Linked DNA regions of Cricetulus griseus. The protein of the gene in region 2 binds, or shares a complex with, the protein of the main gene of each other region. Links are inferred from orthologs where the notes say so. Each region holds a gene or a part of one and is shown on either strand. Other genes may lie near its edges.

Evidence for each region. Proteins that work in one complex are often made in the same cells at the same time.
Region 1: Eif3d (region 2) and Eif3l share a complex: the UniProt entries of both Homo sapiens proteins name them as parts of the eukaryotic translation initiation factor 3 (eIF-3) complex. The link is inferred for Cricetulus griseus from reciprocal best matches to the Homo sapiens genes EIF3D and EIF3L.

Annotation. Positions count from the first base shown.
Region 1 is NC_048595.1:376,190,442-376,194,845, reverse strand, and holds part of Eif3l (eukaryotic translation initiation factor 3 subunit L), read right to left. Parts: intron 3,406-4,404; coding exon 3,326-3,405; intron 2,026-3,325; coding exon 1,964-2,025; intron 1-1,963. UniProt on the Homo sapiens protein: Component of the eukaryotic translation initiation factor 3 (eIF-3) complex, which is required for several steps in the initiation of protein synthesis.
Region 2 is NC_048595.1:375,066,966-375,072,103, forward strand, and holds the start of Eif3d (eukaryotic translation initiation factor 3 subunit D), read right to left. Parts: upstream 3,330-5,138; 5' UTR 3,175-3,329; intron 3,059-3,174; exon of another isoform or gene 2,800-3,058; intron 1,791-2,799; 5' UTR 1,781-1,790; coding exon 1,658-1,780; intron 1,425-1,657; coding exon 1,379-1,424; intron 530-1,378; coding exon 393-529; intron 1-392. UniProt on the Homo sapiens protein: mRNA cap-binding component of the eukaryotic translation initiation factor 3 (eIF-3) complex, a complex required for several steps in the initiation of protein synthesis of a specialized repertoire of mRNAs.

The DNA of each region.
Region 1 (4,404 bases), about 1.1 Mb from region 2:
CCCAAGGATCTCCAGTGCCAATCGTGTTGCTGACCCTGGTTCAAATTCTCTTGAGTTGGGAAACACAGCAAACAACAAATTTGTGATGGAGTAGAGAAAACTGCCTTGGATTGTTAGCCCCGGCTCTATCCACTATCTTAACTGTGTGGTTCTGACAAGGTATTTAATCAGGGCTACTCAGACTTAAACAAGATCGTGTAGAGTGCAATGTGGTGGTGATGATTACCATCCCCCAGATGGGAGGATGAGGCAAGATAATGAATTCAAGGCCAGCCTGGGCTACAAAGTAAAAGCTTTGCTCAAGAAAAAGAAAAGCGGGATGTGTGTGTAAGTTATTTTATACCAAAAACATGTTCATCCAGAGCTGGGCCAGCATGGGCCACATACTGAGTTCCAAGTGCTACATAGTTAAACCCTACCTCAAAAACAAATAAACAAATAATAAATAAATAATAAAAATCATCTAATCATTCAAAGAAAAATCTCCAGGAGTTTAAAACTGGTCACACTCAGTGCCAGTTTAGAACCTACCAAAGATTCCAGGTGGTAATGAACTGCTAAGTTTCTAGTCTACAGACCAGACAGAAGAAATGAAGTCCAGTTATATCCTGTCTTCCCTAAGTAGCCACACACACACCATGGCTATCTTCAGTCTAGCCACACATGGCTGACCTTTAGCATTAATGGCAGTAAGGAATCCTTGCTTTCTCTCAGGTAGCAGAGATCCCACTGGAATGCAGTAAGACAGCCCCAGAAACTCCTCCAGCTGCCATTGCTGGTAGCACCTACAGCCAGGACGGGAGCTCCAGGCAGATCAAGTGGTCCTAAGGACTGAGGAGGAGTCACTGAGAGTCAAGCCACAGGTGGAGACCCTTGCTTGCAAAGAGCTGCTGGTGTCAGTATCCTTCATTGATCCACGCTCAAGCAATGACTATGTCATTGGTGGCAAATCTGTCATCATTCCAGGAACTGAATGATAGCAGTGAGCAAAACAGAGCCCAAAGCCCAGTAGTGCTAATATCCTAGTGGGAAAAGCAAAGAGACCCAAGTGAGCCAACAAGACATTGTGCTAGTGACTGGTGCTTTGAAGAGCTGAACACAGCTAGGAATCCAGGAAGGGAGGCGACGGTCACAGTAAATGCTACGGCAAACCCGTCAGCTAGATGCAGCAGGGCCATGGATCTAACCTTGGATTTCCTAAGCATGATGGACTCTAAGCCCTCATAAAGGAGGACTGGGATGGTAGAGACATTAAGGGCAGACAAGTTCCAGTGGTGTCAAGAGTCCACAACAGGCACCAGCTTTGCTGGTCAAACTATTCTTTTGCATTTCTTTAAAATAGTTAAAACGGGTGTGTGTGTGTGTGTGTGTGTGTGTGTGTGTGTGTGTGTGTGTGTGTGTGTGTGTGTGTGTGTGTGTGTGTGTGTGTGTGTATGTTAATCCCATCACTCGGGAGGGAGAGGGAGTCGGATCTCTGTGAGTTCAAGTCCTGCCTGGTCTACAAAGCAAGTTCCAGGACAGCCAGACCTACACTAAGAAACCCTGTCTTGAAAATTGGGGGTGGGGGTGGGGGGTAGGGAGTGAGGTAGTTGAAACCAACCAACCAACCAACAGGGTAGGAGTGGCGTAGGCATGGCTGGAGAAATGCTTAGTGTTTAAGTACACTTGTTCTTGCAGAGGATGAGGGTTAGATTCCCAGCATCCACATGGTGGATCACAACAGTTTGTAACTCCAGTTCAAAGGGATCTGATGCCTTCTGATCCCTGTCGGCACCAGGCACACACATGGCACACAGATATACATGTAAGCAAAACACACACATAAAATATAAAAAGAAAAAAAAGACAAAACCATACCAAGCAGCTTTAGACATGGAACAAATACAACTAGAGACTATTCTAGATGAAACTGACACAGTTTACAAAAGTATTAGTAACACCAACATTAATGTAAAATACTTACACTGACTTTGGCGTATATATGCCTGTAGTATAATTCTTTGTACAAAATTAAGAATACAGCATCTAAAAGACATAGCAAAAGGGTACTTCGTTAAACTACAAACCAACTGGTGTATCCTGCAGCCACAGCCTTCCAGTGGAAGGATAGAGGTAATCTAGAAGGTAAATTTTTTTTTTTTCGTTTTGTTTTTTGTTTTTCGAGACAGGGTTTCTCTGTGGCTTTGGAGGTTGTCCTGGAACTCACACTGTAGACCAGGCTGGCCTCGAACTCACAGAGATCTGCCTTCCTATGCCTCCCGAGTGCTGGGATTAAAGGCGTGCGCCACCACCGCCCATCGAAGTTAAACTTCTAAACCAGTGGCTCTCAACCTTCCTAATGCTGCAACCCTTTTATATAGTGTCTCATGTGGTGGTGACCCCCACCACAAAACTATTTCACTATTTCATAACTATAATTTTGCTGTTATGAACAGCAACATAAATATCTGTGTTTCCTGATGGTTTTACAGATGAATCCTGTGATATGGTTGTTTAACCCCTCCTTAAGGAATCTCCATCCATAGGTTGAGATATGCTGTTTTAAACTCTTAAGCTTTTGCCCCAAGAACCTATGCACCCACCAGAGTGGTAGTGTGCGCCTTTAGTCCCAGCACTCAAGAGGCTGAGGCAAGGAGATGTCCGTGAGTTTGAGGTCAGTCTGTTCTACACAGTGAATTCCAGGACAGCCTGGGCTATACACAGTGAGTTCCTGCCTCAACAGAAAGAAGAATGTATACACCCAGAGAAAATTGTGTTCCATTCTACTGTTAATGTCCTAATCACCTGTCCCTTCTCTTCCTCTCTGAGGCAGGGTCTCACCATGTTATCAGTGGCCTTAAAAGGATCCCCATCACACAGAAAAGGAAAGTGAGAGGTGAGGGGCTAATAAGCCCAAACCAAAGTGACTCAATAGCCACCTCACCCCACCCCACCCCCAAAGAGGGAAAAGAAAACTCCTTATCTGGGAAAGCTCAAATTGTACAGCTTTCTCTTACCATGTAATTTTACTACAAACCTACATCTTAAGCTCTGGAGAACTAAAATGTTAAGTAAACACACAAACCAACCATGGTGGTGCGCACCTTTGATCCCAACACTCGGGAGTCAGAGGCAGGCAGATCTCTGTGAATTAGAGGCCAGCCTGGTCTACAGAGTGAGTTCCAGGACAGCCAGGGCTACACAGAAAAACCATGGCTGGAAAAACACAAAACAAACCAAAAATAAACAAACAAACAAAAACAGAAAAAGAAACACATATAAGTTCTGTGATCTTTCTGTTAATATCTGCTATCCAGCACCTGTGACACGCAGCATTTATACCTACCATTGCCAACTTGGGGTGCAATGGCTTCTGCCTCAGGCCATGGTGTATTCTTGAAGAATCTTTCAGTTAGTTTGGTCCAGCTGAAAGCCAAGCAAAAACAATTCACAACTAAAAAAGCAAGACTCAGGACCCAACCCTCAAATTCTATGTATAGGACTCAGAGACGTGGGAGATACCACAGAAACAGAGCCTGAGCCCCACTCCCTCCCCAAGCCTAAGACTTTCCTCAACCCAGATCTCCTCTATGGACCTTTAGCAATGTGGGAATAGAGTTCAACTCCCGCTCACTGATCCAACAGGTGTCTGGTCATTGGCGCACACACCCCATCCTCCCAGAACTTGCTTGAAGTATTTTCTGTCTTGTCCCTAGCTGACTCATCTTACATCTGGCATTCATTATTATCAGGGCATCTCCTCATCACTACTCTGGAGCTTGGTCTGCACTGTGAGGCTGAACAGTTCAGACATTAGGATCCGGGATCAGAGTGTGCGGTTCCGAACACAGCATATGTACAATGCTAGCTATGATTCATTTCTATGATGTTTCCTCTATTGTGAAAAGAGAAAAACCATAGAATTTGCACCATGGGATTACCAATACAGGCAAGTAGCAAACACACAAAAATACTCCAACACTGCTTGGCCTACACTGATAATATATGCTAATAGCTACTATTATCATTAGTAGTTATTGCAGTAATTTTTAAAAAGTGGTTTGAGAGAAAGATGACATGCTATACAGAGTTCATGCAGAGGGTTTTTTTTTATTAGGAAAAAAGGATGGTAAAGGGGGGAAAGGGGAGGGGGAGACTGACCTCTGGGGACAGAAGCAGAGGAGAGAGGAAAGAGATGCAGGAAGAGAGTGAGAGAGAGAAAGGATCAGATAGAGGGAGCGAAAGAAAGAAGGATGTGAGGTGGGCAGGACCCTTTTAAAAGAGAGCATAGTGAACAGGCACAGGTGGTGCTCTTAGGAGCAGTAGTTGAGGGGGTATCCTGTCAGAACTCCAAAGGTAGGCCAGTACAAATGCCTAAATACTAACAGCAATGACATTATTTTAGATTTGAACCTTGTTTGTTTC
Region 2 (5,138 bases):
AGTATTTGGGGAGAAGCACTTGTGTTAGCTTGGACTCATTTCCACTAATGTAGGTTTACTGGTTTTACTGGAGTTGCTAAGTTTGCATCTTAATGTAGTACCCAACCAAACCATCTAATTAACAAAGCCTGTATGTTGCAATTAAGTGAGAAAATAGGTTCCTAGCACAGCTGTGTGATGTCTGACCTACTGTAAACAGAAATCTAAAGTCCTTCAAAACATCCTTGGAAAAGTTATTCTGTTAAAACCCAGTCACTGAATGGCCACTTGGGATTGGACAGAGGCCTGCAATTTCCTGTCTCATTGGTGTTTCCAAGACAGTTGCTAAGCAGCAGAAATTCTCACAGTAAGAGCTCCTCCAAGGCACTTTAGGCTGCCAGCCCGTGGCCTACCTGTGCGAATCTCATCCGGTTCCGCTGGTAGGCAGTCTTCTGTGTGCGCGCCGTGTCCACTAGCTGGAAGCTCGTCTCATCCTCCTCATGGAAATATGCATACTGACTTCCCCCACCAAACTGAGAGGAGTACTTGTCTGCAGGCAAAGGTGACAGTGTGTGCTAAGTGCTCCCTAAAGGCTACACATGGCAGTCTTGAGCCTTGCTCTCTCAAGCGTGGTTTTGGGACCTGCAGCACTTTTGGGGACCACAGCCAAGAGCTTGTGAGGTGTGCAGACTTACTGCCCCTGTCCAGACCTGACAGATGGGAACCTGTATTTAAACATGATCCCAGGTGATTCATACACACATTTAAGTTTTAAGAGCTTGAGTCTAAAGAACTTACCAAGAGAGCCCAAGCATCTCAAGTTAACCCACTTCACCTCTGCCTTGGACAATTAAGAATCTGGAGTGTACCACCATTGCCATCACAGGAGCCATGGACACTATCATCGACCATGATAAACTTTCTTTCTGACCTCATCCACCTTAACTTAGTATTCCCGAAGTTACTTCCAACCATCTAACTGGCACCAAGAAAAGCACTTTCTGCGCTCTGTTTCCAATGGTTGACCCGTAATTCTCCCTTTACTCTCTCTCTTCCTCTTCTGCATCTCTCCCCACCCCAATCTCTTAATGTGCAAAAAAAAGCACGTTCCTTTACCAGAACCTTAAAACCGGGGCAGCCCACTGACTGATGGCCTCAGGAAGTCCCAAGCAATAAATGCAAACGGCAGCACACTCAACATGTCTAGGAGTCTGGCTGTCACCCCTATAATAATTAACAATTTAACTTCTGGGACTATTTCCAAAACCAATATTAGGGCACACATTTAAAATATACCCCAATAACTATCATCAGCATTCCTTTTCAGTGTGGAGCTCACTGAACAAAGCAACAATCTTCCCAAGGCCTAAATGTGGATAGTTCACTGAAGAATACTTACTTGTGTACCTCTTGTCTTGGTACGTGGCCCCCGTCCAGTCTGCAACCTGTTAGGTGTGATGAAGACAAGAGGTCAGGTGAGCAGGCCTCTGCTGACTCAGAAACTCAAGATAGCAAGGGAGGCTGAGTGAACACGTCATCAGCTTCACCTCTGATGCTTCTGCATCAGCTACCCGCTCTGGCCTTTGGCTGGTGTCCCCAAAGGAAGCATAGCCACCAAGAGAGCAAAAAGGATGTGAGGAGCTGTGGAGTAGCTACCCCAGCTGAAGGGACCCAATACCTTCCCCAGCCGATCTCCTTTGCTGAAAGGCTGGTAGGGCATATCCCGAAACTGTTCAGGAACTGCACAGGGGCCCCAGCCGGAAGGGTTGTCCTGGATCACAGGAGTCATGAACTTCGCCATTGTCTAAAACCTTAAAACACAAGCATTGTGAACAGCTTTATAAGGAAAGGCCACTAAGTCCCAAACACTCCGTGATCCACTGAAGCTGCACCACAGAGGCACACACAAAGCGCAGAGCCCTGGGCTCTGGAGCAGCAGGGACAGCTTTCTTGTAAACCACTCTAAGAACACTTAAAACTCAGAACATTGTCGACACCAGCCACATTTTCTTGTGTCTCATTAATTCTAGGACTTGCTCTTTTTTGGTGACTATCTTTGAAATGAGGCCATGCCTTATGCTTGATGGCTGTCACATCTTGTCTTTTCTTTCTTAGAATAACATAAGACAGAGCTACCTCAGATTCATGAAGTATGATAAAAGTGAGATGAGTTCCCTCAAAAACACTCTCACCTGGGCACCCAATACCCAACGTCTCTAAGCCTAGACTAAGTCTTACCTTCTGACAATGTCCAGAGAGTTTAGTAATCTCTCCTCCTTGCTCCACCATAGGAAAGCTTAAGATATTTAGGTGACAGCAACAAGGAATAAACTTGGGACCTGCATCCCCAAATAAGAACTTATGCTAAGCTGTATGTAGGAAGAGAACATGGGGGAGCGTGTGGCCTTTGAACAGCTCACATGAAATAAGAGCCCCCAGCAAAGTATTGGAACTGTGCTGGATAGATAGGCACCACTGCTTCCTCAAACCATCATCTCTGAGAAAGTTGGCTCTCATAACTTAAGCAGTCCATCTGCCCATCATCTCAAAGGCAGTTTCCAAGGCTGTCTGCCTAAGCCTGGCCTTCTTTGGCTACATTGCAGTTAGGGACAGCCTGACGACCTGGGCCTTTAAGACATACTCACAATACCACCTCAAAAGCAACTGTAATTTTAGTTGTCACAAGTTCAAGATAGTCCAAGACTTGACATGCATCATCTCCCCGGATGGGCAGGGGTTTGGAGTCCTTTGGCTTCCGCACATGAGAACCAGAAGGTCACTGATAGGGGAAAACTAAAACGATGCGACAGCTGTACTAACCACAATACGGTGCGGATCACTGTGGACACTACAGACAAGAGCCACGAAGTCCTGGGCTCGGTTTCACACCAGGGTGGAGCACACTCCTCTCAGTCGCCCACTTCGGAGCAGAGACGGAAACTGTTCGAAGCCCCCGGAGGAGGACACTTCGTCCCCACGGCTCTGGGCTTAGCATCGGGTGAGGGATCCACACCGTGTGGGGTGTCCTGCACTAACAGGGTCGCGCCTGGGACCACCCAAGGCAGATTCCCGCCCCGCCCTGGGGCGACGACAGGAGAGGACGTAAAGGAAGGCTCTTCCGGGAGGCCCCCGAAGCCAGGCCTAGCCCAGGGTGGCTCGCGAGGTCCACAGGTCTCTGCAAAGCAAGCCGCTCACCTGCAGTGGGCTCCGCAGGCCCGGATGGCGAGAGATGGCACGGGTCAGAGACTGCGATATTCTCGATTCTCCGAGGAACCAAGACAGCAGGAAAGTTGCGCGCGCAAGAGCCGGCGCCGTAAACCGCGACCGGCGCTGTCGTAAACGGCGCTACCACTTCCTTTTTAGTCAGCGGAAAAACGTCGGGCCGTAAAGCGAAGACACAACCGGAAGTTTGTCACGGCCACTGGCTTAGTCCTCATTATTCTCTGAGGTGAGAGACAGGAGTGGGGCTGGTTACGTCAGCGGCATCCGCGGACGCCTCGAGCGATTCAGAACTGAAACGTGGCGGCGCGCGGTGCGAGGGAAGCTGGGGCGGGGAGCAGGAGTCGGCCCCGCGGTGTCCCACAATGCTTCGCGGCTGCCTCGGCCCCTTTGCCTCCCACAATGCCCCGCGGCTCTTGCTGGCTCCTGTCTGGCTTTGGTCGGGTTGAACCGCCCTCCGCTGGAGGTGTCCTCGCTCGTTCCCTGTGCCGGTTGTCTGCAGGGTGAGGGGTGGCGAGAGACCGTGGTCCGGGCTGCTAGAACTTCGCGATGGCCGCCAGGGCTCAAACCCTTGTTCCACAGATCTTAAGCCTCATTTTTCAACGGAGATTTCTGTTTGCTCATTGAAAGTAAGACAAAATAGGCCCGGCGGTGGTGGCGCACGCCTGTAATCGCAGCACACACGAGGCAGAGGCCAGCCTGGTCTACAGAGCGAGTTCCAGGACAGTCAGGGCTACACAGAGAAACCCTGCCTCAAAAAACCAAAATAAATAAATAAATAAATAAATAAATAAATAAATATTCTTTCGTTTCATGACTAGCCTATTTTAATTTCAGACACATCTTGAGTTCCATCTCCCGTCATAGCTTGGATCTATTCATACTCCTGGTGGGTTGCTCCTCAGCGTGGTCAAACGTCTTCCCACACAATTAGCACCTCCCTAGGGAAGCATAACATAAAGTAGACTAGCTTTCTGTGGCCTGACATCCCTGGCTGCCTTCTCGCTTCGATGCCTATTATTCTGTACAACCTCTGCTCTGGTCACCGTGGCCTGCTCTCATTTCCCTCTCAGCAGGTCCTACACTTGCTGTTCTTTCTGCCCTGAAGGTTGGGCCTACCACACCATATGCCTTTAAGAGTTGGCTCCTAGCCAGAAATGGCAGTGCATCCTGGGATCCCTCTAGTCTGAAATTGAGGCAGGAGGATGGATCATAATGCCAGACAGGAGCTGGTGAAGTTGGAGAAGGTTCTGAGAAAAAGGCACTGTCTTTGAAAACTGAGCCATCTTACACCAAAATGTTTAAAAAATTTTTGAAATAGGGTCTCACTAAATTGCCCAGGCTAACCTTGAACTCCCCGCACCTGAGAACCTGAGGCACAAGGATTGTTGCAAACCTGAAGCTAGCCTAGGCTCCATAGCAAGACCCCAAATCAATATAAAATTGAGATGTGTCATAAAATATAAGGAGACATGTATCTTTGCTGAACTTCCATCATATCGCTCCTGTTTTTGTGTTTTTTTTTTTTTTTTTTTTTTTTCTTTCCCTTTTTGCTGTGGATCCCAGAGGCCATCTGCTGCAGATTCTACTGTGTCAGAGTTTAATCATCTTTCCCCTGTTCAGGCCCAGATGTTCTGCTCTGTCCAGATGGAGGAGGATGTGGAAGTTCCTTCCTCATTCTCAGCTCAGCATGTGACTTCTCTCACAGTGCTCCAGACTCTGAGTCTGCTGTTTTGTGTCACTCTTGTGCAGTGGCATTGTCGTAGAGTGTGCCCAAGAAGTGTTTTGTGAACCTAAGACCTTTAGGACCTGCTTTTAGAGATAAAACAACAAAAAAGATTGCCCTAAGCACCTCACATTCTTCCCTGGGGGTGTGGTTCAGTTGGTAGAGAGCTTGCTTAGCATGCACAAGGCCCTGGGTTCAATCCCCAGCACTGTGT